Saccharomyces cerevisiae S288C: one gene and its partners. The gene in region 4 interacts genetically with the main gene of each other region. Each region holds a gene or a part of one and is shown on either strand. Other genes may lie near its edges.

What was found.
Region 1: mutations in CSF1 (region 4) and ALG8 together harm fitness more than expected from each alone (negative genetic interaction), as found in Saccharomyces cerevisiae (4 studies listed by BioGRID, with this or other methods).
Region 2: mutations in CSF1 (region 4) and VPS8 together harm fitness more than expected from each alone (negative genetic interaction), as found in Saccharomyces cerevisiae (4 studies listed by BioGRID).
Region 3: mutations in CSF1 (region 4) and SKT5 impair growth when combined (synthetic growth defect), as found in Saccharomyces cerevisiae (4 studies listed by BioGRID, with this or other methods).

What each region holds. Positions count from the first base shown.
Region 1 is NC_001147.6:447,943-455,073, forward strand, and holds ALG8 (dolichyl-P-Glc:Glc1Man(9)GlcNAc(2)-PP-dolichol alpha-1,3-glucosyltransferase), read right to left. Parts: upstream 5,521-7,131; coding exon 3,787-5,520; downstream 1-3,786. Other genes in the region: ubiquinol--cytochrome-c reductase catalytic subunit CYT1, read left to right, coding at 1-426; MSA1 (Msa1p), read left to right, coding at 1,494-3,383; VPS5 (sorting nexin 1), read left to right, coding at 5,826-7,131; VAM10 (Vam10p), read right to left, coding at 5,927-6,271. UniProt on the Saccharomyces cerevisiae protein: Dolichyl pyrophosphate Glc1Man9GlcNAc2 alpha-1,3-glucosyltransferase that operates in the biosynthetic pathway of dolichol-linked oligosaccharides, the glycan precursors employed in protein asparagine (N)-glycosylation.
Region 2 is NC_001133.9:141,532-148,031, reverse strand, and holds VPS8 (CORVET complex membrane-binding subunit VPS8), read right to left. Parts: upstream 4,326-6,500; coding exon 501-4,325; downstream 1-500. Other genes in the region: transcription factor TFIIIC subunit TFC3, read left to right, coding at 1-438; EFB1 (translation elongation factor 1 subunit beta), read right to left, coding at 4,872-5,412, 5,779-5,858. UniProt on the Saccharomyces cerevisiae protein: Required for localization and recycling of the CPY sorting receptor (VPS10) to the late-Golgi compartment. Involved in the retention of proteins to the late-Golgi. Plays an integral role in the complex vacuolar protein sorting process.
Region 3 is NC_001134.8:103,017-110,550, forward strand, and holds SKT5 (Skt5p), read right to left. Parts: upstream 4,391-7,534; coding exon 2,300-4,390; downstream 1-2,299. Other genes in the region: KIP1 (Kip1p), read left to right, coding at 1-2,205; Arf family guanine nucleotide exchange factor YEL1, read left to right, coding at 4,916-6,979; CMC2 (Cmc2p), read right to left, coding at 7,109-7,404, 7,490-7,523. UniProt on the Saccharomyces cerevisiae protein: Activator of the chitin synthase CHS3 which polymerizes chitin, a structural polymer of the fungal cell wall.
Region 4 is NC_001144.5:310,684-318,855, forward strand, and holds the start of CSF1 (Csf1p), read right to left. Parts: upstream 5,049-8,172; coding exon 1-5,048. Other genes in the region: GPI-anchor transamidase subunit GAA1, read left to right, coding at 5,424-7,268; alanine transaminase ALT1, read right to left, coding at 7,554-8,172. UniProt on the Saccharomyces cerevisiae protein: Tube-forming lipid transport protein which provides phosphatidylethanolamine for glycosylphosphatidylinositol (GPI) anchor synthesis in the endoplasmic reticulum. Required for the glucose and other nutrients uptake at low temperature.

The DNA of each region.
Region 1 (7,131 bases), on a different chromosome or scaffold from region 4:
AATCAAGGTGCCTTGCCACCTGATCTATCTTTGATCGTGAAAGCTAGACACGGTGGTTGTGACTACATTTTCTCTTTGTTGACCGGTTATCCTGATGAACCTCCTGCTGGTGTGGCTTTACCACCAGGTTCTAATTATAACCCTTACTTCCCAGGTGGTTCCATTGCAATGGCAAGAGTCTTGTTTGATGACATGGTTGAGTACGAAGATGGTACCCCCGCAACGACATCTCAAATGGCAAAGGACGTTACCACCTTTTTAAACTGGTGTGCCGAACCTGAACATGACGAAAGAAAGAGATTGGGTTTGAAAACGGTGATAATCTTATCATCTTTGTATTTGCTATCTATCTGGGTGAAGAAGTTCAAATGGGCCGGTATCAAAACCAGAAAATTCGTTTTCAATCCACCAAAACCAAGAAAGTAGTTGACAAAAAAATGAAAACCACTATTATTTAAATTACGGAAAAAAAAAAACCAATAAACAAAAAACATAATAAAAGAAATGAAAAAAAAGAATATTAGTAGAGCATACTGAATTGTTTTCAGAAAGAGAGTGAAAGGTAACAAAAATTTACCTACTTTTCCTTTTTATTTCTCTGGTTTCGTTTCTTTTTTTTCGGCCACCCTATTTATTTTTTCACTGCTTGTAAACAACGTCTCACTTCAATAGTGTCTCCTTCATGTACTGAGATACTGCTGCAAGCGAAATATCACGAATAATAATATAAAAAAAAAAAAAAAAAAAAAAAAAGATGTTTAAATGTTAACAACCTAACAGCAATAAAAAATAAAAATAAAGGTAGAAGATTGCAAGAAAGAAACTTTACAATATTTTGTTTGGATGCCCAACACCGGCGTCTTGGTGTTCTTCTATAATATTTATTTTATTTATTTTTTATTTATATATGTACATATATATTCCTATTATCTATTAAGAAAGTAAACTTAGTGTAAATCTACCACTGTTCCAAGGCTTTGGCCATCCACCTTCTCTTTCGTTCCATTAATAATATGACACAATCGTTGAGGATGCGAGCGAGACCGTTATGGTCGATCTTTGAAGTCGCCGCGTAACGCGCTAGTATTTTTTCCTTAAAGAGGCAAACACTTATTTTTCCCTAATAGGAAATCCCTCAAATCGGTTTTTTTCCATATTAGTCCCGTTCTATTGTCTGGTTTCATACCTCTAAAATTTCTCTCGCTGTTCCATCAATTAATACAATCAAGGCACAGCCAGCAAATACTAATAATTCTCTTAATAACTGCTTCCCCTTTGCAGCACCGATAAGGGATCTTTAAGACGGTCTTGAAAATTTTTCGTTAGTTCATTTTTCATTCTCGGAAGTTTTTTTAAATTTTGAGAAGAAGAGCTGGTTGCACATTCCAAGGTGATTAAAGGGATTTGATTAAGTATATATTCACCAACCTGGGTTGTGTAGTTGAAAAGGGGAATAAAAATATCTCAAGAATACTTCGTGAAAAATATTCACTATGGATAAAAGCATGATCAAAAAAAGAGGCAGGCCTCCCATCACCAAAGATTATCCCAATCCCCTACAAAGCCCCATGGCGCATTCTTCAATGCAGGTTCAGAAGCAGGGGCCTCACAGTTTTGCCAAACCTTTGATGAAAGTGGGGCAATCTAGTCCATCCCCGAATAAAAGAAGACTCAGCATCGATCATCATCATAATTTGGCGGCAACTACGAGAAAGGGCAGATACAGGGGCGTTCTTCTTTCTACTCCCACCAAGAAATCGAGCACTAATGGCTCTACGCCGATCTCTACCCCGTCTTCGAATGACAGCTATAATAACACGGTGTTTTCTGAAACAAGGAAAACCTTTCTTCAGAGTTCGCCGCCTATCATGACGTCTTCTCCAGCTTTCCAAAAGAAAAATGACTACATGTTTCCTTCACAGGAACAATTCAAACTTTCTTTAACCATTACCGAAAGTGGGAAGGCCGTTATTGCAGGATCTTTGCCTTTCTCTCCATCGTCAAAATCGTCTCATTTAATGAACAATAATAATAAAAAGATCATGCAAAATGAAAAAATTCACAAAGGAAGCAAGAAAAATGCACCCAAGTTTGAGAAGAGACGTATTCTTTCTCTCTTAAAACAGATGAAGAATGAGAAATATTGTGATACTGATACGCTCCCCGAAGCACCTCCAGCGAAACCAAGCAGATCTGACATCATCGACACAGAATTGCCGACTATCATAGAAACTTCAGCTTCTCCAATAGGCAGTGCTAGAAACAATAATATACTGCTTTCGCAACCACCACAATCACCCCCTTCAAGCGCGCAACTTAAGCCCCCATCCACTCCAAAGAGTTCTCTACAATTCAGGATGGGATTTACTCCCAATGTTGCACTAAATTCCGTATCATTAAGTGATACTATATCCAAATCTACAAATGCTGTGGGTGCCAGCAATAATAACAATCAGAACGGTAATTCCATTAGCAATATCGCGGATGCTAATACTTTACTTACCTTGACTAATAGCCCGGGAGTTTTCTTATCACCTCGAAACAAAATGTTGCCCAAGTCGACTACTGCATCTAACGAACAACAGCAGGAATTCGTGTTTAAGTTTTCAAGTGGTGACCCGTTATTGCTTACTGACGACGCAGATGGGAATTGGCCAGAAATGCTGTTCAATGTATCTAATACGCCCAGACGTCAAAAATGTTTTAACACACCTCCTTCATGGATAAACTTTGGTTCACCTGGATTATTCAGCCCACCAAGAAGCTCTAATGTCATGGTAAATGGCACCACTGTAGCCACCGCATCGGATAGCGGCAACGTCCATAGACAATTACAAGCTCAATTGGAGGCGCAAGTGCAAGTGCAATCGCAATCCAATTCTCCTACTCAAAGGCAACAACAACAGCGTCAATTTCAAATACCCCCACCTCACATAAACATGAACTCTTCCCCGCCACAAATCAATATCGCTTCCCCACCTCATCAATCTATGTCTCGGGTGTCATCTATTTACTTCAACAAAGAAAAAACCACAACAGGGGTAGCAAATATGCTAGGTAACACCAAAAGCGAAAACTTACAGCCGCCGGCGAATTTATTTACCGCTGCCCATGGACCTTCAACTCCTAGAAATCAAGAATTTCAATTACCCACTTTGATTGAATGCACTCCATTAATCCAGCAAACCATGAATGGCTCATTAGGAACCAAATACATACCAGGTACTTCAATTTCGAACAGTGCAACTCCTAATTTACACGGGTTCCCTGTTGGAACCGGGAAAGCTCCCTCTAGCTTTGACGATTCACTAAAACAAAACCCGTACAGCAACAAACAGGATGATGCTAGAACTGCCTTGAAAAGATTAATCGATGATCAGTGAAAATAGTCATAGATTCATGAAAACGATATGAGCCAAAAGGACCATTCAATAATCATGAAGCGTTAAAAAATAGTTTACTTACCTTTTTTCCTTCTTAAAGCATTTTCCCAGAGCTGATAGATAATATATTGAAGTAGTACTTATATACCTTTCAACTGATGCATGTGAATGGAGTTGACCTTCATTCAGTTTAATGTAATGTTATTTTAATTCAAGTGTAAAACGCACAATACGTAAACGAAAAATAATGAGGAACTGGCGTGAGGGACTGCATAAATCGAAATCTAATCGTTATTCAATTAGTTAGTAGGTGAAAATGTACAATAAATATTTCTAAAATCGATTCATATATAAATAATTTTATATCACTTTTTTTTTAACGTCCTAGGGAAGCGATATTGTATCACTGCCATAGTAATTCGTCAAAATTATATAACCACGATAAGGCAAACCACGAGCTGATTATACCTAATGAACAATAGACACTATATATCATTAATCCTAAGAATTCAAATTTTTGCAAAAATGAATATCTCCACTTGACTTCATCCAATATTTGTAATACGGTGACGATTGGTAACAATGAAAAGATGTACGTTAATGCCAACCTATCCAAGAAAAAGATTCTTCTTTCTACACTTGAAGAAATCTTCGTAGTTTTTCTAAAAGCGGCAAAATAAATTATACACCAAACATAAGTGTATAATGTTTTAATGAAAAAATCTTGGCCTTTGTACAGAAGAGGATACAAGGAAACATAACCAGCTGAGGCAACTAACATAAACGGTACCAAAAGACGACGATCAAATCCAACAAGAAATGTGAACGGAATGATGACTAGCATTATAGCTTTCTCATGCACATGCCACCCGAACAAAAACGATGCCAACCCACAGAGAGTCAACGAGCCAACAAATCTTTTGAACGATGGATCAAACAAAAGTGGAAGTACTGCTAAGACCTGGTAAAATATCGTCAAAATAAACGTTAATTTTGGAGGAATTTGAGGGAGAATAACAAAAAATACGTCTTGAACTAGACCTTTACTTCCATTGTTGTTTGCCGCGAGCCTTTCATTAATTTCCTTGATATTCTGAGGGATCAGAGGAGGTTTAATAAATTTTGTAGCAAAAGTGTGGACGTACGGTAATTTCAACATTACCGTAGTGAGTATTTTATCCATAAAAGAATACAACGCCCAGAAATTTGGTGCCCAATATGCATGCGTCAGTCCTCTTGAGAATGGGAATAACCTGCTCAACACTTGCGGCATTTGATGAGCAAATGGAAGGAAACAAATAGTGAAAATTCCAACAACAACGGTAGCCAACTTCAAAAGATTTGCCCATCTTATCAGGAACAAAAAATCTTTGTAACTTTTAAACTTGAAATTGTTGACATTGAGAACGTATGCTCTCAATAAAAACACGAAATAACATGGCGCCAAATATAAAAATATATGCTTGAAACATATGGCTGTAGTATACAGAACAGCGCACAAGATGTATCTCTTATTCTTGGCGGCGACAATGGAGCCTATTAGAATCGCAAAAAGAAAACCATTATATTGGAAGTGAATGTGATCTATTATTAAAAACCCGGGTGATAGTACAATGCTAGAAGCAACCACAAAACTTTGAGATCTTTCACTTAGCTTTGTAGTATTAATGTATATTTGAAGGATGACAAATAGAAGAATTTCGCTGAAGATGACAGTGAGTCGTTGGAAAACGATTGTTGGCAAACCGAACTTTCCGATCTCCACTATATCCAAACAACCGTCATCACGTACAGATTTAGGAACAAATTGCGATAAAAACCATTCAAAATAAGCAAAAAATGGCGGATAATCCAATGTCCATTGACTAGTGTGCTCATAATACCATTCGCTGATGGGCAATTTATTGGTGATTGCCAGCCAATTTCTATGAACGTCAAAATCTGTACTGAAGTAGTCAGGAATCAATAGTAATTTTAAAAACAATGTGCTTATCCAGAAATTCCATAAGGAGTAGCGCTTGGATCCCTCACCTTTTTCGGTCGCGGCAGTCTTCAAAACCTTTTTTGGCTCGTCATTTTTTTTTAACTTTGCCTTCTTTGTCACAGCCATATTTTGCCTCGAACGATCACCTTTCATCGTAGGCTATCCAATAGACGTCAAATGCCTTGCTGACCACTACAGAACTGTAATGAACTTCAGCTATTTTTAACGTATGTTATTCTATAATTCTATACCACTATTGTCGTTTTGAAAAATGAAATTTCACTTTTCGGAAGTTGTCCGCTAAGAACAACTAAGTGATAACAGTAAATTTTAAAAATGCTTTGAAAAATGGGTTAAGCAAAGGTTATTTACTATAACTACGTAGTGAACGAAACCATATATCTCTTAATTTGCAGCAGGGATTTTATAAACTTTCATACATCCTGCAATAACAAGCCATGGACTACGAGGATAATCTAGAAGCACCTGTTTGGGACGAACTAAATCATGAGGGAGATAAAACTCAGAGCCTCGTTTCAAATTCAATTGAATCAATTGGTCAAATATCTACAAATGAAGAAAGAAAAGACAATGAGCTTTTAGAGACCACAGCTTCATTTGCGGACAAGATAGACTTGGATAGTGCGCCAGAATGGAAAGACCCTGGTTTGTCGGTGGCTGGTAATCCGCAACTAGAGGAGCATGACAATTCCAAAGCTGACGATCTTATTAATTCTTTAGCCCCTGAACAGGATCCGATTGCTGATCTCAAGAATAGCACTACACAATTTATTGCAACAAGAGAATCCGGTGGCGCATTGTTCACTGGAAACGCCAACTCTCCCTTAGTTTTTGACGATACGATATACGATGCTAACACTTCACCAAATACTTCAAAAAGCATCTCTGGAAGAAGATCCGGCAAACCACGAATTCTGTTTGATTCCGCCAGAGCTCAAAGAAACTCCAAACGCAACCATTCTCTGAAAGCGAAGAGAACAACTGCTTCCGATGATACCATCAAAACACCCTTTACTGATCCCTTAAAGAAAGCTGAAAAAGAGAATGAATTTGTTGAAGAGCCATTGGACGATAGGAATGAAAGGAGAGAAAACAATGAGGGCAAGTTCACAGCTTCTGTTGAAAAAAATATCCTTGAGCAAGTGGACAGGCCTTTATACAATCTTCCTCAGACAGGTGCTAATATTTCAAGTCCTGCTGAGGTCGAGGAAAACTCAGAAAAGTTTGGAAAAACCAAGATTGGCTCAAAGGTGCCACCAACCGAAAAGGCTGTGGCTTTCAAAGTTGAAGTTAAAGACCCGGTCAAAGTAGGAGAGCTAACATCCATTCATGTGGAGTATACTGTAATCAGTGAATCATCATTACTTGAGCTAAAATATGCACAGGTAAGCAGGCGTTACAGAGATTTCAGGTGGCTATATCGTCAATTGCAGAACAACCATTGGGGTAAAGTAATACCACCACCACCAGAGAAGCAATCAGTAGGCAGTTTTAAGGAAAATTTCATTGAAAATAGAAGATTTCAAATGGAAAGCATGTTAAAAAAAATATGTCAAGATCCGGTTCTACAAAAGGACAAAGATTTTCTACTCTTTTTGACAAGTGATGACTTTAGTTCAGAGTCTAAAAAAAGGGCATTTTTGACTGGATCTGGCGCTATTAATGATAGCAACGATCTGTCAGAAGTCCGGATAAGTGAGATACAACTACTAGGTGCAGAGGATGCTGCCGAGGTCTTAAAAA
Region 2 (6,500 bases), on a different chromosome or scaffold from region 4:
GGAGAGCTATTGAATATGGATGTAATTCCAATGGTGAGAAATGTTCGACCTTTAACGTATACTTCAAGGAGATTTGAAATACGAACATTAACTCCCCCTCTGATTATATATGCCAATTCTCAGACAAAATTGAATACAGCAAGGAAGTCTGCTGTCAAAGTTCCACTGGGCAAACCATTTTCTCGTTTATGGGTGAATGGATCTGGTTCCATTAGGCCAAACATATGGAAGCAGGTAGTTACTATGGTCGTTAACGAAATAATATTTCATCCAGGGATAACATTGAGTAGATTGCAATCTAGGTGTCGTGAAGTACTTTCGCTTCATGAAATATCAGAAATATGCAAATGGCTCCTAGAAAGACAAGTATTAATAACTACTGATTTTGATGGCTATTGGGTCAATCATAATTGGTATTCTATATATGAATCTACATAATGAAATGAGGTGTATAAATTTTACTTTTATGTAACCAAAGTTGTATTAAATATTTAGAAATGTTATACTATTTTTGGGTTAGATTCCGTCTGGCAAATTAAACAAGAATATTCATCGGGTTTCTGGGCCAAGTTTTCGAGGCAAGTCTGGTGAAAGCCATGGTGACATTTGAATATGACAAGGGGAGTTTTGAGATCTACACTAATCATATCTTGGTGGCGCTGTACATTTTCCCAAGCTAGAAAAAGTAATGGGTCCAGACCAGCTCCCCATATTTTTTTCCCGCAGATTTCGCAGTCGTCGGTGTGTATAGACCACCCTTCACTCAGAAATTTTCTATACTGTTGAACAAGATCTTGCGAAGAATCCTCTATAATCTTTTGAATCAACTCAGAAAGAGATCTTTCCAATTTATAAGTATTAAAAACATTCAGTAGCAGTTGCTTTAAATCCTGAACTTTCATTAAAATAACGTCTTGGTGCTCAAGAACAGAAGACATTATTTCCCAGAATTCCCCACCTGAATCCTTCTGAGAGGAACTCTTGGACCTAACCAATCCCAAAAATGCTTCTTGAAGTAGTTTATTACATAAATCTTTCCTTTCATCGTGTGAAGGATATTTCCCATATAGAGTGATCAGGAATGTAATCAATAATATCCAACACGATTTTTTCTCGGTACCAGCAGAATTACAATCATCAAAGGCCCTCCTCAAAGATTCCAATAAAGTAGATATATTTGTTTTCCCTTCATTTAGACATTGTTCAATAAAACTTAATAAATCCCTGACTGCTAGGTTAAAACTTTCCAAGCGTTCGTGAATTATAGCTGCAGCTTCAAAATTAGAGTCTTGATTCAATAAGTCCAGAATTTGTAAGCTCTCAGCGTTGCTGAGAACTGTACCATTAAGCCAAAGAATCATTTCCCTTTTGCTCTTGTATTTACAGTTCAATTCGATGTGTAAATTTCTTAAACGCTTATCGACCTTATTGTTGATATTTGGCGTAGAAAAAAGCTTATCCAAATACTTTTGCTGAGTCTCCTCATTCTTTACTTCCAGGATTTCTTGATGAAGATTATAGTCAAAGTCAGAAAAAATTGTGACGCATTTTTCGATACCGATCCTTGAGAGAAGAAGATCAAAGTTCGTCTCGATAACTTCAGTAACTTTGCCACATTCTAAACTTCCAGGTGGGCATTTTTTGAGTATGTAGTCGGTTATGGATACAATGTCCGTGTTATATTCTTTTTCGATGTCCTTAGTTTCTAAAATAAGTGAAAGCGCACTGGCGTACTTATTTTCACTTTTATAGATATGGAAAAGAACTTTATTGAAATTTTTTTCTTTTAGTTCCAGTATAAAATTTTCTGTTGTTCTTGAATGATAATAGGGTAAAAGCGACTCCAGAGCTATTTGAGAAATTTCATATATACCTTGAACCCTAGAGGAGCATATGGTATTAACAACGCAGTCGAGGGCTTGGTTAGACACTTTAATAAATTGAGGATATTTTGATATACTAGTTGCAATGAAAATTGCAACAAGTACCCTGATGTTGTCTGAATTTCCCGTATCTTTCATAGCATCCAATAGTAGATCAATAACATATTGCCTACTTACCAATTCTGCTTCTCCAACTGATGCAACCATGTCATTGTCATCGTTAAACAAGGACGCTTCAAACACTTCATTGAGCATTGCTAAGAACCTACTCGGATTCGATTTCAATAAAAGGTGAAAGTAAGGAAATGCTGGCTCTTCTTCTGGATTTTCGCATATGTAAAGTTTATGATTGCTGTTCGACGGCCATTTTATGGAGAAGCCACTAAAAATAAATGCTGAAAGTTCCCTTTGTATTTTGGAGCATTTATCACTTGGTGATATAGACAAGTTTTGTGGATATTGCCTGCCAGTAAGGATATACGTTACGTAATCAAATATAGTCGTTTCAGGAGGTACTTGAGGACCATTGAAGATCACACATTTTTCACTTTGGTTAGAAATCCTGTATATCAAGTCCACCACTGGGGTTTGATAATCATCAAAGATCTTGTTCCAAATATATATTAATAAATCGAACAAATTATACTTTTGGCATAGTTTGACGGCAAGATCAACATCAAGCGTAGTAGGATTTAACATGATGATTAAGTCTTCAATTACTTTTAAATTCTCCTCCTTAGCATAGTAATCAATTATGGACCTGAAAAGAACTGGGGAAATTGACGTAACTGATCCTTGGGCAACAATATTTGCTACAACTTCAAAATATACCGCGTTGTCCTTCAATTCAAAGAACTCCAGACCCTGTTCCAAAAAGACGTCTAGAGAAGGAATTGAGTCTAGTTTTTTGGAAGATTGCTGCAAAACACGAACAACTACCATTAATAATTGGTAAACCCTATTGTAGTCGGCATTATCTTTTTTTATAAGAAACCTTAGGGCAGCCAAGGACAGATTGTAAAATGGTTCCATAAGTTGCTTAGTCCTCTCTTCCGTATTATTATCTAGCTTCAACAAGTTTGCCAGTGGACAGTAAGGTTGCAAAAGTGATTCTATGAACTCCAATGCACCCAAGTAGTCGCCTTTCAAAATATGTCTTAAAGTAATATCTGACCAAGACACAAATTTGCCAATTTTAAATGAGTAGTTTGTTAACAGGTAGAAACTTCTTCTACTTATTACAAAATATTTATTAGGTGGGATCATCAAATCGTGAATCAGAAAATCCAATCTTAACAGGATCTTGAAGTCATGTTGGGGGTGCAATACCAAAAATTGGTGCGATATGGTTAAAACACCAAGTAGGAGCTGGTCAATCCATTGAATGGATAATATAGATTCTGCAAATTCAGGAGAATGGCTAGCGGACTGAACATTGAAGTCTGATGAAGATATGGAAATAACAGAAATTTTATTATTTACGGAATAAGCAACCCTGGAACAGTTTTGAGTCCATGAAATAGAGCTATTCACGACTAGAGAATTTTGTACTGAGGGTTCAACAGTTTCTTGAAACATCAAAGAAACGTGTGGCGATAATAAAATAAGGGCAAAATGTGTAGTTGTGAGTACACTCAACAAATTAGTGGAAATTTTCTCCCGTGATATTAGTGGAGACAACTTTGACCTTATTAATTTCTCCTTGGAAGAGTTCACATCTAAAATTTTTTTTGAATTATACACCAACTGCCAAAAGCCTCTTCTGTAACCGTTATAGAGTGATACTTTACCTGTCCTATCACTAACAATCAGGGCTGTATGCCGAGCACCAAAAAAGTCTAACCCTGTGATTTCCTTGTTCACATGGTCATCGATGTGTAAGACTGCCGGTAAGGCAGGCGTTGGGGTCATACCATTTGTTGGTTCAGAAGTGGGTTTCACTCTATACCCTACGTTCAAGTTCCAAATGCATATATTTCCGGTCTCGTATGAGGCAGCTACATGAGTACCATCGGAACATATGACAATTGATTTCACTGGACTTCTTATTGAGTGAATAGAAGGGTCCTCAGATAAGGTCGGCACTAGGATTGTCTGCAAATGTTCATTATAATTAAAAATGAGTACGCATCCTTTAGAAGTGCCCATCAAAAAATACGTGGCTGTCGGATACAAGCACGTGGGCCCTCCATAAGCACCCAGGATGGAATATACGTGTGTTAAAGTTGTCCATGAGACTACGGATTCGGAGCCTTGTGACACTGCAGAAGCTACCCCTTTAGGACCATCTTCGTTCAGGGGAGGTGCCGTATATGAAGAACTAGATGCCAGTTTTTCACTTAATTGGGTATACGATCTAAATTCTAGGAAAGTCTTTTGAGTGTCATTAATAGTCGTATCGATGCTAGATCTGCTGTCGTGGTCAAGGCCATTTTGCTCCATTCTAGGTGTAATGAGTAATGGTCTCGGCAGATATATATTTTACACTTATTAAGCCTTTGTATGTATTGGTAATAACTGTCCTTTTTCACGCAGGTATATCATCGTAACCAGAGGTTCCCTTTTTTTTTTTTCCACAGGAAACTCACGTTTTGATTATATGTCTTTCTCGTTTTTGCCATGTTAAGCTACGAATAATGAAATTTTCCTTTTCTTCTAATCGTGAAAAAGTTATCCACCATAACTCCCTACACCGCGTATTTTCGACAAGATATTATGAGTATGTGTATTTAAGAATATGAAAAGAGATATACATAACTTGAATATTCCCGGAATAAATTCAATTAATAAACACGATTCCTTATATAGTGGTTACACAAATTAGTAATAATGTTTCGTGTGCAGTCGAAAAGTTTATCGTTCAAAATTCCTTCTGTTTTTTTTAGCCTAAAACCTAAGTTATTTCGTTGTTTTTTTCATTTATTTGTTAATCTTTACAATGTTGTTTTTGCTTTAATGTTAATTATAAAAAGTTTATAAAAAAGCCTTTTATAATTTTTGCATAGCAGCAATATCGGTAGATTGGACGTGGTCTTCGTCTTCTTCAATGCTTTGTTGCAAGTCATCCAAGGAAACCTTGTCATCTTCGACAACACAGTTAATTTGCAACTTCTTGATACCGAAACCAATTGGGATAAATTGGTGAGCACCCCAGGTCAAACCTTCCATTTCGATGGCCTTGACGTTAGCAACCATTTCTTCCAAATTGGTTTCATCATCCCATGGCTTGACATCTAGAGTGACAATGGACTTAGCAGCTGGCTTAGCTGGCTTAGCAGCCTTCTTAGCGTTGTATGCGGCAATTCTTTCAGCCTTCAACTTTTCAGCTTCAGCGTCAGCTTCTTCATCGTCGGAACCGAATAAATCGACATCGTCATCTTCTTCTTCTTCGGCAGCGGCAGCAGAGGCAGCTGGGAAAGAGTCGAATTCATCGGCCTTGGAAGCGATGTGGTTGAACCATCTGGAGAATTCTGGGTAAGCAGATTGGAAAGCCTTGAAGACAGTGACGTCAGCTTGAGAAACAGCAGTACTATTTTAAAAGGAGAAACAAAACATTTTGCTTGTTAGTAATGAGAACTTTTTTCTTGTAATGCAATCTTTAGACTCTGTCTTTCTTTTTTTGAACAAAAAAGGAAAAAAAAATAACAGATAACTAATAATGATACTCTGCTCTGTGCTATCGTCAGATACTGTGATAGTCAACCACATCTCTTTTGTCACTCATATCGGGGGTCTTACTTCCCATCATAAACACGGACCAAAGAATTAAATTCATCATTCACATAAGCGAAAAAAAGTAATCATTATTAGTTAACTTCCCTTTACATGTAACCATAGGAAAAAAAAAAAAGAAAGAAAAACAACGATCTATAAAGTAAACTAAATCGGAACATACCCTTCAATGTATGACTTGTCAGCCAAAGAAGCGTTTAATTGTTTCAAAGTTTCAATCTTGGAGAAATCGGTGGATGCCATTATGTGTGTATATATTCGGTTGGACTCTTCAGTGCTGAAAGGTAGAAAGCATGAGGTAAAAAGATAAAGAGTAGAAGGAAAAAAAAAAGAACCAACTAAATATAGTGGGTAGATAACCTTAAACTATTTATTTAGAGGCGACAATGTGAAAAATTTTTTCTTCAAAGGCTCGGTTGTCGACAAATTGTTACGTTGTGCTTTGATTTCTAAAGCGCTTCTTCACCTGCAGGTTCTGAGCCCTAAGAAAAAAAATTTCCTTGGTTGAAAATGGCGGAAAAAAAAAATTCAGAAAAAGAAATAAAGCACGTGTGCGCGGTGTGTGGATGATGGTTTCATCATTGTCAACGGCATTTTCGTTCTTGTGGATTGTTGTAAACTTTCCAGAACATTCTAGAAAGAAAGCACACGGAACGTTTAGAAGCTGTCATTTGCGTTTTTTCTCCAGATTTTAGTTGAGAAAGTAATTAAATTATTCTTCTTTTTCCAGAACGTTCCATCGGCGGCAAAAGGGAGAGAAAGAACCCAAAAAGAAGGGGGGCCATTTAGATTAGCTGATCGTTTCGAGGACTTCAAGGTTATATAAGGGGTGGATTGATGTATCTTCGAGAAGGGATTGAGTTGTAGTTTCGTTTCCCAATTCTT
Region 3 (7,534 bases), on a different chromosome or scaffold from region 4:
ATGACGAAAACATGCATTATCGCAACTATATCACCTGCGAAAATATCCATGGAAGAGACTGCAAGTACGCTAGAATATGCAACGAGAGCCAAATCAATTAAGAATACTCCACAAGTAAATCAGTCTTTATCGAAGGATACATGTCTCAAAGACTACATTCAAGAGATTGAAAAATTAAGAAATGATTTGAAAAATTCAAGAAACAAACAAGGTATATTTATAACTCAAGATCAGTTGGACCTTTACGAGAGCAATTCTATCTTGATTGATGAGCAAAATCTAAAAATACATAACCTGCGAGAACAAATTAAAAAATTCAAAGAAAACTACCTGAACCAATTAGATATCAATAATCTTTTACAGTCTGAAAAGGAAAAACTAATTGCCATAATACAGAATTTTAATGTCGATTTTTCTAACTTTTACTCGGAAATCCAAAAAATTCACCATACTAATCTCGAACTAATGAATGAAGTCATACAACAGAGAGATTTTTCACTAGAAAATTCTCAAAAACAGTATAATACGAACCAGAACATGCAATTAAAAATCTCTCAACAAGTTTTACAGACTTTGAACACTTTACAGGGCTCTTTAAATAATTATAACTCTAAATGTTCCGAAGTTATCAAAGGCGTCACCGAAGAACTAACCAGGAACGTAAATACCCATAAGGCGAAACACGATTCTACTCTCAAATCGTTATTAAACATTACTACTAACTTATTGATGAATCAGATGAACGAACTGGTGCGTAGTATTTCGACTTCATTGGAAATATTTCAGAGTGATTCTACTTCTCACTATCGTAAAGATTTGAATGAAATCTACCAATCACATCAACAATTTCTAAAAAATTTACAAAACGATATTAAAAGCTGTCTTGATTCGATAGGCAGTTCAATTCTAACTTCCATAAACGAAATATCGCAAAATTGCACCACTAACTTGAATAGTATGAATGTTTTAATAGAAAACCAGCAGTCAGGATCATCGAAATTAATTAAAGAGCAAGATTTAGAAATAAAAAAACTGAAAAACGATCTGATCAATGAGCGCAGGATTTCTAACCAATTCAACCAACAGTTGGCTGAAATGAAGCGATATTTTCAGGATCACGTTTCCAGGACGCGTAGTGAATTCCACGACGAACTTAACAAATGTATCGATAACCTAAAAGATAAACAATCTAAGTTGGATCAAGATATCTGGCAGAAGACGGCCTCTATTTTCAACGAAACAGATATCGTAGTTAATAAAATTCATTCCGACTCAATAGCATCCCTCGCTCATAATGCTGAAAACACTTTGAAAACGGTTTCTCAGAACAATGAAAGCTTTACTAACGATTTAATCAGTCTATCACGCGGAATGAACATGGACATATCCTCCAAACTGAGAAGTTTGCCCATCAATGAATTTTTAAACAAGATATCACAAACCATTTGTGAAACCTGTGGCGATGATAACACAATCGCATCAAATCCAGTATTGACCTCTATTAAAAAATTTCAAAATATAATTTGTTCAGACATTGCCCTAACAAATGAGAAGATCATGTCATTAATAGATGAAATACAATCACAAATTGAAACCATATCTAATGAAAACAATATCAATTTGATTGCAATAAATGAAAATTTTAATTCTTTGTGCAATTTTATATTAACTGATTACGATGAGAATATTATGCAAATCTCAAAAACACAAGATGAGGTGCTTTCTGAACATTGCGAGAAGCTACAATCACTGAAAATACTGGGTATGGACATTTTCACTGCTCACAGCATAGAAAAACCCCTTCATGAGCATACAAGACCTGAAGCGTCAGTAATCAAGGCTTTACCCTTATTGGATTATCCAAAACAATTTCAGATTTATAGGGATGCTGAAAATAAGAGCAAAGACGACACATCTAATTCTCGTACTTGTATACCAAACTTGTCAACTAATGAAAATTTTCCTCTTTCACAATTCAGTCCAAAAACCCCAGTGCCAGTGCCTGATCAACCTCTACCAAAAGTTCTTATACCGAAAAGCATAAACTCGGCCAAGTCCAATAGATCAAAGACCTTACCAAATACAGAGGGTACTGGACGAGAATCGCAGAACAATTTGAAGAGAAGATTTACCACCGAGCCAATATTGAAGGGAGAAGAAACTGAAAATAATGACATACTGCAAAATAAAAAACTTCATCAATAAGGGGATATAGCCATTGTAAAATATTTGTATCACTATATGCATTGAGTGTAAACTGTTGCACCTATAAAGAATGAAAACAATCTAGTATGTGTACTTACATAATTACACAGTCTTTTTTTTTTTTACCTTGTTTATCCTTCTTGTTCTTCAAGCTTGTAGGTTTTTTTGACTCAGTTTTTACTGCAGGAAAATCTTTACGAATCATGTTTGAACTGCCCATATTTGATAAACTAACTTCTTGCTTTGCTGCCATCGACTGCTCAGCAACTTCCCTTGACATTCCCTTTGCTGAGGAAGAACTTTTCCTGATGCTTGTATCAGAACCCGTTTTAATACCATTTCTATTCGTGTTTGAATTCATGTTAATTTGCAAACCTTGTGGCTCACGATCACGTTTTGGATTTCCAGTAAAGAATGTTTCAGATTTTGAAGAAACTCTTGAATTTGACCCTACGTTACTTGTTTGACTGTCCACAGTAGAGAATAAATTCAAAGTACTGATACTTTTATTTTTTTTATGCTGTTTTTTACCAATGCTGGCTAGTCCACCGTCCCTTGAGCGTAGCTTATTAATCGCCCTCTTGTCCTCGTTCCCTGCAGCTTTCTCGTACCATTTCCATGCGTATTCCATGTTACGATCACAGCCCTTGCCATGCTCATAGAAGTAGCCCAGAGTGAATTGGGCCTTTGGCAAACCAGCATTAGCTGCACGCAAGGCCCATTGAAAAGCCTCATTTTCATCTTTTTCAAAAGCAGGTTCTGCTCCCAGTAAGTACCATGCACATAAACCTAACATTGCCACAGAATCGCCTTTTAACGCTGCCTGCGTATAATAGTGTACAGAAAGTGATGTATCCTGCCCTACTGTATCATTACCTGTTTCATAAATCTGTGCCAACAAAGTTGCTGAAGGAACATGCCCTAAACTTGCTGCTTGAATATATAGTTCCATTGCATACTTTTCATCCGGAATGACAACATCTAAGAACCCTTCATGATAAATCTTAGCCAATTCGTATGGTGCTGCGGCCGTCAACTCATTAGCTCTTGCTGCAGCCCTTGATAACCATTTTACCCCATTTAATTTAGTATTAACGTCGGTTGGAAGACCCATTCTGCCGTAGAATGAATAAAGTCCCAATTTATACATTGCTGAGGGATGATTCCTGCTAGCCGCAAACTTTAAAAAATTGACTGACTTACGAGAATCTCTTGTTGTTCCTAGTCCTTCTTCTAAGCAATGCGATGCTCTGTAAGCACTTTCTATATGACCATGCTTTGCAGCTGCTTGAAATAAGACAAATGCTTCTTTATTTTCAATCTTCCCAAATGCTCCGGATGAGTAGCCGTCCGCTAATAAGTATTGGGCATCTGAATAACCCTTTATGCTCAGTTTCTTCAAATAACTTTGCGCTTCTTTCAAAAACTGAAGTTTTAAGTCAGATTGGCTGACATTTCCTTCCTTGTCACTATCTTGAACAAGAGCATTGGAAGATTCAATAGTCAGTGCGGTTTGTAACATATATTGCGCATACTGGAATAACACTTCAGGATCTTTAGATTTTTTAACGTTTTGTCTATACATTTCTATTGTTTTTAGCCTTGGAACTAAGGAAGTATTATTTTTACCACCCAAATATCGACTGATCATCTGATGTGACAAATCTGCTACAGATTCATTAGTAGCCGTTAATTGGGTATCACTGCTACCATTCAACAGGTACATGTGAGACAAATCTACAGAACGAGTTCTTTTCTTTATTTGCTCCTTCGTAAGAGATGTACTCGAATTTGTCTGTCTTAATGCTCCCGGTGACGGAGAATTTGTAGGAGTACTTCCCAAAGAACTTAAGGAAGTATTATTTGAATTATTAAGATGAAGCTGTGGGGGTGGGACTGGAACGAAATCTTCCTCTTGACTATTGCCTATATCGTTTGATAGTAGAGGTACTGACGCAGCTCTAAGATGCTCATTGATAAGCGGTTGGTTTGCCGACCGCTTAGGAAGGTCTGCGGTACTGAAGTCTTCATTGTCCCTGTTTTCCCTATTCTCTTTATTATCTGAAAAATCTTGACCTACCTTCAACGAACTGTTTTGAAACTGTAGGCCCCTGTTATCAAAATTTATATGCTGTGATTGCATTAAATGCTTCTTATATGGATGTACCTGCGGTGAACTTGCCATTTTTTATCCTTTTATTTTAACTTTATCACCAAAAAAGACGAGAACCTGGTAGTATACAATGGAAGGCTTATTAACAGCAAGTCTAAAGTCAAGTGCCAACACCTAGTTTGTCTCTACTCTTAAATCTTACATCATCCTCGAGAGGGTCTGCAGAAAGAATTTTTCGTTCTTTTTTTAGCAAGTCAAAACGCGAAGTGAAACGTGGGAAAATATAACGATGACCTTTCTTAAAACATGCATGAAGACTCGTGAAAGTCATATGTACATATGTCGTATAGATTTGCAGATAGTTGCAACAAATAATTAGCGATTAGTTATGGCCTATACATGGCAGCTAAGTGCGATGGCATGTTCAAATGTATTATATTAAATCAAATGAACTTAAAATGCGATGTTTGGGTGCAAAATATCTATAGATGATAGAGACGGTTCATTGATCTTACGGATCAACTTTGAGATCAGTAAGGCTGACTAGATGGTACAATTTTGTGCAGTCAATGGACTATTAAGGGATCGCAAAGAGGTATGTGCGCCAGTTTAAACGAGGTAAAAAAGAATGACACCTATGGGGTCTCACAAAAGGGCTACAATGACAATTTCAGTGAAAGTGAGGGCGTCCTTCATGGTAGTAAGTCGATGCCCACTAGCATGAAAAATATGCTACAGTCTCCCACGATGGTCAACATGTGTGATATTTTACAAAACAAGGAAGCTGCTAATGACGAAAAACCTGTGATACCTACTACGGATACCGCCACTGCGGGGACTGGTACTGAAGATATTAGCTCCACTCAATCCGAGGAAACTGATCAGAATAGTCATCTTATTGCCTCAGAGATCTTGGAAGGCACTTTCAAAGATGTATCTTACAAGGAATATGCAAATTTCTTGGGAAACGATAACAATAATCAAGTCTTGACTGAGTTTGTAAAGTTATTGAGTCCTTTGCCGTCGTCACTATTAGAAACGCTTTTCAATTTATCGAAAAGTATATATTTCATTGCAGAAGCGCAAAATATCGACCGGATACTAGAGTGCTTGAGCATAGAATGGATAGCTTGCCACCCGAACACACATTGGAAGTCAGGCTATAAGTCATGTCATATAGTCTTATTTTCCCTGTTGATCCTTAATTCGGATTTGCACAACAACTTTCAAGTTGACCATAAAAAGATTAAGTTTTCCATGGTTGCATTTATCAACAATACACTGAGGGCACTAAGAGAGGAAAATGAATACGAAGAATTGAAAATATACTCCCGCGAACATTTGATCATCGAAGAACTTTCCGAATACTATAAAACGTTAAATGAAACGCCTTTACCGTTATGCACAGAATCTAGAACATCAATAAATATATCAGATAACCAATCTTCCTTGAAAAGGTTCTCTACTCTAGGATCACGGGAATTTAGTACATCAAATTTACGTAGTGTTAACTCTAATTCTACTACACTATATTCAAGAGATGGTCAAGTATCTGTACGAGAAATGAGCGCAAAATCAAATAAAAACTTTCACAATAATCACCCCATGGATGCACTCTACCTTAAAGAGTCTTTTGATGACGGTTTAATTACCGAAAACGGCTCCAGTTGGTTCATGGACGATTTAATTCTTATAAGCAAGAAATCTTTACCACGTAAATATTCTAAAAGAGACAAAGATCAAGTGGCGGCACCAAAAATGACCTCTAAGAGAAACAAATCGTTCTTCGGATGGCTAAAACCATCTAAAACGACTACACTTATTGAGCACACATCTAGAAGGACTTCTTTATCGTATTTGAATAAGGATTCTGAATGGGAGAGGGTGAAAATACAGGTCAAGGAGGGCAGAATTTTTATTTTCAAAATTAAACCAGATGTTAAGGATATCATCCAATCAAGTGAAACAGACAGTGCTACCATCGACTATTTCAAAGATATCAGTAGCTCTTATTTTGCTTACTCACTGCTTGAAGCTGAAGCACATGTCGTGCAAGATAATATAATTATAGGTAGTGGAGCAATGAAATCAAATGTGTGTAACAAAAACACCAAGAGGAAAAGTGGCAACTTTACCGTTAGTTTTCCAGAGAATATCAACGGACCAAAGCTTGTTCTGGAGTTCCAGACGAGAAGTGTTGAAGAAGCCCACAAGTTTATGGACTGTATCAACTTCTGGGCAGGTAGGATTTCTCCAGTTCCTTTAACACAATTCGAAGCCGTATCTAACGCAGAATATGGATGGAGTGACAAGATCTTGACAGAGCACGCTTCCCTCAATCTTAAAAATATTGTTGTAAGTGAATGGAAGCCACTATTGGGGCTAGAGCTACTATACGAAGATGCGAAAGATGTAGAGATGGTCGAACTAAAAGAAAGGCTAAAGGAATTGATGAACTTCACCAGACAGCTTGGTATATGGATAGATAAACATAACGAAATAAAGGATAAGCTGGTCGAAATTTGGAGCTTTGACGATAACTATTTTGAAGCAGTCATGAATAATTGGAATTCGAGATATTTGTATATGAATAATCAATATAAGAAACGACTGAGCTACTTGAAAGCTTTGCAAAAAGCCATGGGTTCTGTTCAGTTCTAAGTATATTTAAAGATATAAATATAAAGACTGCGCTGAAGAAATATAAACTTGAAAACTGTACTCTGCCTTTTATTTACAAGGGATATTGAGATGATTTGTGTGAATGAAGTAGCGACAGAAAAAAAGCTTTTATTTCGAGTTCGCATCATTGTCACTTTCCTGCTTTTTCTTGGCGTACTGTCTATCTAAGATAGTCTTTAATATAGCGTCCTCGCCATATTCTTCTTCCTCAATTTTCTTCCATCTCTTTTCTACATCAGCTCTCTTTATTCTACTTTCAATGACAGCACGTTTCTTGTTATTCAAACTTGCCTCCTTGAGACACTTGTTCAAAGCATCCTTTTCGTTGTTACAAAGGCCAAATATTCTCTTGTAATATTCCTTTTGATGGCATTTATCGAGTGCATTGATGAAGTCCAAACAGGCTAAAATGAAGAAGGGGAGAATACAATGTTAGTAAGTCGGAGCACAGAAAAAGGCAAATATATGAAGTAAAATCTGGATACTTACAATGAAAACGTTCAGCTTCTAACTGTGGATGCATGTTGTAGTACT
Region 4 (8,172 bases):
GAAAATATAACCAATGAACCCGCTTGACTAGTTGAATCTTTTAGATTTTCCCATAGTAAACTAACTCTACCCCCAACTGTTCTACTCATCAGCTTCGTTTGGTCCATGACCAGTTGCAGTTCACTTTTATCCACTAATAAAACGGTGTTCATTTTGAATTGCTTTGATAACTCCTTTTTTGGATCACTTTTGTCATCTTCGCCCACTGCTGCAATGAGTGGAATAAGATCTTGCAATTTAAGTAACCTATCACTGAATTTTCCTTTTACTGAGCCTACTCTTCCCGTAATTTCAATAGTTTCTTCTCGATTTGAAGGTAAGCTTGTCACCGGAGGCGTCAAATCCACTACCAGATTGGCATCCGCAACAACAAAATTATGCTCAACCTCATATCCCTCACCATAAACAGTAAGGTAAAATGATCCCATGGTACACTTCAACAATTTTTTAATCAAATTTTGTTTATGTTTCTCATTTTCTGCCGTGAATAATTTGCCGTATATATACGACCTTGCAACATCTGAGAACTCCCAATTTCTCCAAGTCGAAAACACAGACATGAAGATATTTTTTGCATCTTTAGCAGAGGTATATTTCTTTTCTTTTAGCACTTCGTCGATGTTGCTTTGCCAATCATCAGGAAGGTACGTTAAAATGTGTCTCAGACGCGTAATAATTTTCCAACTACGATTCTCACGCACATGCCCTTTGGAAAGTCTCATAATAAAAGCAGGTTTTGTTATGACGTAAGGATCATGACTAATTTGATAATATTCGCTTGCGGCTGTGAGCTTTGAAATGAGTTCTGTCTTTGAATTACTTCTGGTGTTCTGAATAGAATTAAAAGAAGTGCAAACCTCTTGAATAAGATTTCCCTGGTCACTACAGTACTCAAACAGCCATTCCATTTGAGATTCGTCTATGGTAATATCTGATGACGTTAAGTTTAATGAGTTAACTTGTCTATCTTCTGTAGAAGACCATACTTCGAAACCCTCAATCCCTAGCGACAGTGCAGGGGGACGATCTTCAGACAAGTCTGGATTTTTCTTCTGGTTAACAGTCACTCTGACAGTTTTTACCTTTGCTAAAGCTGCTACTTCTAATAATTTATTTGTTCGGTTCTTCTCTAGAGACTTTTCACTCATTTGATAATCAATACGATCTAAATAGAGCTCAAAACCTTCCTCACCTGTCTCTTGCCAGATTAAATTTAGATAAGCAATATGGATATCAATGTTTGAAATAGAAGTGATCCCTTCTTGAAGGTTGCTTAATCGTTTCACAATCCCAATTTCAATATCGTCTAAGACTTGTACCATGTTTTCAGAGTAAAGCTGTTCTAATAAACTCTTAGCGAAAATAAAAAGCAACGGGTCGACATCCAACAGAATATATGAAACATCAACAACATAGTTATCCCTTTCGTGGTTTCTGTCTTCTGTAAAAGCGACAGGTTTGAAGCTTGAAGGGTCCGCTTCTTCGTCATTATCATCTTCACTGAAGCTGGCTCTTGAAGGCTCCATAGTTGATGGAGTTTCTGCGAATATGTTCTTGAATGGATTTGTGGTCTCCAGAAGGGTAGCATACTCGCCCACAATATCTTCAATGATATAATCTATAGTATCAGGCAAAGTGGGAAGAGGTAAAGTTGGGATAGACGAAGATGGTGCTATAGCCCCGTACAGGTTTTGGTATGTATCCGAATCCTGATAGAACAGCGGAAGAAGAAAAGGACACCTATGATAGGGTGAATCGTGTATTGTTATATATCTGCGTTGTTCTGATCTTTTTTTATCGATATCCTTGTATTGCTCAAAGTTTGTAAATCTTAATTTTGTTTCGAATTTGAGAAATGATGTGTCTACGCCATCGCCCATCACGCAATTTAACGAAATTGTCAATTTTGGAATTTTCACGTCTATTCTTTGTGAATATTTTTCGTTTTCAAAGTCGATCAAAGTAAACAATATCGATTCAGCACTAATAACTGATTGAGATTTCATCACCGGATCTTTAAGGCCTATTCTTATTTTTTCAACGTGCACGGTTAGCGAGGTCATATCATTAATGGTCTCAGTGTCATATAATAATATATTTTCCAAGTCATTGTAGCCAAAACCTATCTTATAAAAGGAATTAAAGAATCCCTTTATAAATTCAATATCTGAATCAATGCATAAATCTCCGAGATTGATATCCCATTGACAAAAGTAGGTAGGTTCTGTGGGTGGTAATCCATACATTCTATGTCCATGAATGGTGAGGTCCGAAAGCAATCCGTGCTCTTGCTCATCAGCTCCGTTATTACGACGTATAAAATCAAATACTTCATTTATTTGTTTTGAAACGTGCCGCTTTATTGAAGTCCCGTTGAGAACCGCCATTATGTCCATATAATAATTACAACTTCTGAAATCCACTACAAGTTCGGCAAAATGTAGTGCAATGCATGGATCAAAACTGTAAATCGTTTCTGGTAATATCAGAGCACCATCCCAAACCGAAAATGTGAACCAAATATCAGTTTCGTTGGTAGTCCTTTTCAAATCTGACCTTTTCATAGGACCTTTATCCTCAGATTCGTTCTTTAGACTGCTATTTTGGTACCCTGAATCTACAGTAGATGCCAAATCTGCCACCGAGCTTTTCGTAGTGACATCTCCGACTTCCCTAGCGCCAAGGACACCTGTGTACTCTTCTGACGTCACAAAATTAAAAAATTCACCGAAGTAATTCATCTTTACGTTTGTTAAATACCTCATGACAAACCCATAGCAGTGAAGTACTGTACTCTTGCTGTTACACTCTATGACTAGCGTATCGACATTATCAATATCTAACTCGGAATAGAGAAGGTAAGAACCTTTAATTGTAAAGTCGTATGCTCTCCCCACTTCTTTATGTTTCATGAATTCGTTCAATGTATTCCAAGGGGGGGTATTTAACATCATTCTGAACATTGGAGTTGAGATCTCGTAGGACATATCTGTGTATGTCCCCAAAATACTCTCACGGGGTACCGTGACATCAATTGAAAGCTTATCACCATGAAGGGATAAATAACAGTTTTCGTTAAAATCTAACGGATTGTTAACAATATTGTGATCATTGACGTTTAAGTAAATGGAATATCCTTCCATTTCCCAATTGACTTTGTATACGAATGGTCTAAAAAGTTCGTAAGGCGTAGGATCACCAGCGGAAAAGTCTGAAAGCGTATCTGCAACTAAAGTTATATGCTCACGTAGCAGAAACGCCTCTAATTGTTCTGACTTCATGTTAATTATCCATATAGCTTTGCTATTCCAACCCAATGGATATCCAATATCCCCATCAATATCGAATACCTTGCTTTTTAACAAAATATCGTGATTAACACTTGACCTAATTTCGGTTTCCAGGAAATGAACATGGAAATTATTCTGAAAACCTTGCACTGTAGGACAAACACTTATATTGAAATTTGCATAGGTGTCCTTACAAAATCGGAGATCCATCCATCCAAATGGCCTATATTCTTCATTAGTTTCTTTGTAGTGTTTCAAAAATTCGGGGTCTTTGCTACTTTCCCTCGTCGGTATACGCCAAGTAGTATCTTCCATTATTGATATATTCATCCTGAAAAGTGTATATATTCTTCTAGAACCTGGCGGGAGTTTTTTTATAGGTTTGGCTGTCCTTGAAACTACCGGTGATAGAACTCTTTGTAGATGACTGACTTGTCTTTGAGCCCAAGGTCCGTAACAGATGGATCCTCCGTGAATTTGAACATCTAAAGCAAAATCTGGAGGTGCTCCGTTATTGCCCACATCTGGTCCATCAATATCAGGTATTGTCGGATGTGCACCATGTGGCACAACGCCCGGAACATCCACGTCATATGCAATTGTGACCTTTGGGCATTTTAAAATTGATGTAAATTTAGCATATTCATGGTTCGTCAAATCGAACTCAACATCATCTAAATCACTTGCTTTAGCGTCGCCCGCAGAAGCCTTATAAAGAGATAAACCTTTCCATTTATGATAGAAATTGTCATCTGATGTGCCTGCGCTTTTTTTAGTCTTTTTCGGTACAACAGGCTTGGTTACTATCTGAAAGACTCGTACAAACGTTTTCCATAACTTTGACACTTTCCCTCTATCTATTTTAAACTTCAATCCAATAGCATCATCGTAACCAATATTTTGTTTGATAGAAATTTCGAAGTTTTTGAATTCCATCTGTGTTTTATTTCTGTATAAATCTAATCGCTCTTTTGGAGGTAAAACATCTATTATGCCTTTTCCACTTTCATAACTTAGAATCATAACAGATGGCGTGAATTTGTTTCCTAACAGTAGGGAACCGCGGCTAAATTTAAGCTCAATTGGTAAAAACATCAGTAGCTTTGGATGTTTGCCGATATCTGTTTCTTGGTAGTCCCTGTCATTAACAATTGATGCATCAGAGTTCGTTGTGTATGCAGATTCGCTTAGATCTTCATCTAATTTATCAGCACTACTTCCATCGCTAAAAGGTTCAGGAAAAGAATGCTCATTAAGGTATTTTTCAAATTTATCGCGTTCATCTTTTGATAGTAAGTTTATAACATTATCGTACGCCACTGTTCTGTTGTAAATAAAAATTTCTAGACCTTCACATTCTACGGAAATTTTACAGGGAAGCTTTGCTTTTTTGCCAGAAGAAGACTTGTTATTCTCTATCAATTCTGCTTTTCTGCAATTTAAAAGCCAGTATTTCCATGTTAAACTACCCTCTAATACCGAAATTGTATAATCTTTGTGTATTACGGAAAGGTTTTTAAAATGTATTCGACCACCTAGTAAGGAGACACGAAGTGTCTCAACATTTATCTTGATTTTCGCTCGTTTCCATAGTAGCCATTCTAATATAAAACTTACAAGGTATGCATAGATTCTTCCCATGTAGAATATCATTGTCAAACATACTACTACCGTGAGAATCCAATCTACTAAAAAGACCCAGCTAAAGTCCTTTTGGTGTGTCAATGGAACACCACGTAATTGTGAAATAGCTTCCATGCTTGCTAACTTATTACCGTCAATAGAAGACTTGAGTCAGGTGGCTTTAATGAGTACTATTCTTTTTTTTTTTCCAAAGAGCACTATGTTGATAATACCGCAGTAATTTTTTTTGAGTATCCTGTAGCCTAGAAAGGTTGAAGCTTATAAAACCGTGCCAACAGCTTTATAGTGGGGAGTTTGGCTTCCCTCTATTTGTATATTGATCGCCATCCCTACGAAGTTATTGGGAACGCATCGTGAACCTCTCACTTTAATGCCAGCGGTAGAAAAAAAAGTCATAAACAATACACGCCGGCTACACTTAGAAAGAAATGACATTTGCTGTCTTATAAAAGGACTTGACAGACCAAAGACGCGTATAATACACCAAGAATGGCCTTATTGGAGAAGTTGCATCGAAGGATTGTTGATATGGGGCTTGTCCCGCGTATAATCGCCTTATTACCAGTTATTTCCATGCTATGCGCTCTATTTGGGTTTATTTCTATAGCTATTCTGCCTATGGATGGACAGTACAGAAGAACATACATTTCTGAGAATGCATTGATGCCTTCACAAGCGTATAGTTACTTTAGAGAATCTGAATGGAACATTTTGAGGGGCTATCGATCTCAAATTAAAGAAATGGTAAACATGACTTCTATGGAAAGAAACAATTTGATGGGTTCTTGGTTACAAGAATTTGGTACTAAGACTGCTATTTACGAAAATGAACAATATGGAGAAACATTGTACGGTGTAATGCACGCTCCTAGGGGTGATGGAACAGAAGCGATGGTGCTTGCCGTTCCATGGTTTAATTCAGATGATGAATTCAATATTGGCGGCGCAGCTTTGGGTGTATCTTTAGCAAGATTTTTCTCACGTTGGCCAGTATGGTCCAAGAATATAATTGTTGTCTTCAGCGAAAATCCTCGTGCAGCATTAAGATCATGGGTTGAGGCATACCATACTTCCTTAGATTTGACTGGTGGTTCCATTGAAGCTGCTGTTGTGTTGGATTATTCGAGTACGGAAGATTTCTTCGAGTATGTAGAAATCTCATACGACGGTCTGAATGGTGAGCTGCCCAATTTGGATCTTGTCAACATCGCTATATCCATTACGGAACATGAAGGTATGAAAGTTTCTTTGCACGGTCTACCCAGTGATCAGTTAACTAATAATAATTTCTGGTCAAGATTAAAAATATTATGCCTGGGAATAAGGGATTGGGCGTTGTCCGGTGTTAAAAAGCCCCATGGTAACGAGGCATTTAGCGGCTGGAGGATTCAATCTGTAACATTGAAAGCACATGGAAACAGTGGTCATGATATTACTACATTTGGACGTATACCCGAAGCAATGTTTCGCTCTATTAATAACCTTTTGGAAAAATTTCACCAATCGTTCTTCTTTTATTTGTTATTAGCACCACGTCAGTTCGTATCCATTAGTAGTTATTTGCCAAGCGCTGTGGCTTTATCTATAGCATTCGCCATAAGTTCATTAAATGCATTTATAAACAATGCTTATGCAAATATATCCTTATTTTCCGAGTATAATTTGGTAGCGTTGTTGGTTTGGTTCGTGTCATTGGTGATATCATTTGTTGTTTCACAAGCGTTTCTTCTAATACCTTCATCGGGATTATTGATGACAATTAGCATGGCATCTTGTTTTTTACCTTTGATACTTTCCAGAAAAATTCACATCTCAGAACCACTATCATACAGGTTGAAAAATGTTGCTTTTTTATATTTCAGTTTGGTTTCAACATCTTTGCTAATGATAAACTTTGCAATGGCTTTACTGATCGGCACATTGGCATTTCCTATGACATTTGTGAAGACCATTGTTGAAAGTTCTAGCGAACATGAGGTGACAACTCAATCCTCTAACCCAATAAAAACTGAGCCGAAAGATGAGATAGAGCTCGTCGAGAATCACATGGATACAACGCCAGCAACCCCCCAACAACAGAAACAAAAACTAAAAAATTTAGTACTATTAATTTTGACAAATCCATTTATTTCAATAACCTTATTCGGACTATTTTTTGATGATGAATTTCATGGATTTGATATAATAAACAAACTGGTTTCAGCATGGTTGGATTTGAAATGTTGGAGTTGGTTTGTACTTTGTATAGGTTGGCTTCCATGTTGGCTATTGATATTAGCGTCATCGTTTGAATCTAAATCTGTCGTAGTAAGGTCGAAAGAAAAGCAAAGTTAGGTGCCATTGGTAAGAAGTAAAGGATTAACGGGTGTTCGAACTACGCAATTGATTTTATACGCACAAACATTACAAATCGAAGCAAAAGAAGATGAAATGATATGATATACTGATACAAATATGTATTAAATAAAACATAAGTATTGATGGAAACATGGCATAGAGAAGCGAAGATGCGATAATATCAAATAACTATATGTGAGTTGTGGAAGAAAGAAACGATCACATTATTATAATAAACTAGCTATTTAAATGTTTATTGAAGACTGTTCTGCCCCCTTTTATTCAGTCACGGTATTGGTCAAAAAATTCTTTATGGAAACTTTCCCATTTCTTAATCCATTCCAGACCAGGTGCCAAAAATGTTGTTCTTAAATGGTAAGTACCAGGTTCTTGACCAAACCCAGAACCGGGAACAGTGCAAATGCCAGTAGATTCTAACAACTTCTTACAATAAAATTCATCCGGAGTTAACTCTAAGTGGCGAGCTTCTTGAACTGCCTTGAAAGGTAAGTCTATCTTAGGGAATAAATACATGGCACCTTGAGGCTTTTGACATTCAATGCCTTCTAAAGAGTTAAATGTCTCATACAGTGTCATTGCTCTTGTAATTAACTTTTCATGGATGGAGTTACGTTCTGCTTGGTCCGACTCGAATGATTCCTCCCCTTCCACTGGTGGACGAACCATCAAATCAACCAAAGCTTGACCTGTGACAACGGGACACAATGAAATCGAGGCTAGTTTCAAGATAACTTGTCTCATCTCATGGCTGAATCCAGTGAGTTCCATGTAGCCACCCCTTTGACCACATTCACCAGAAACACCCTTAGAAGTCGAATGCAAAGAAGCTAGCTGAACATTATCGAATTTACCTGGATGTTCCCTCTGTAAATGTCTCAAA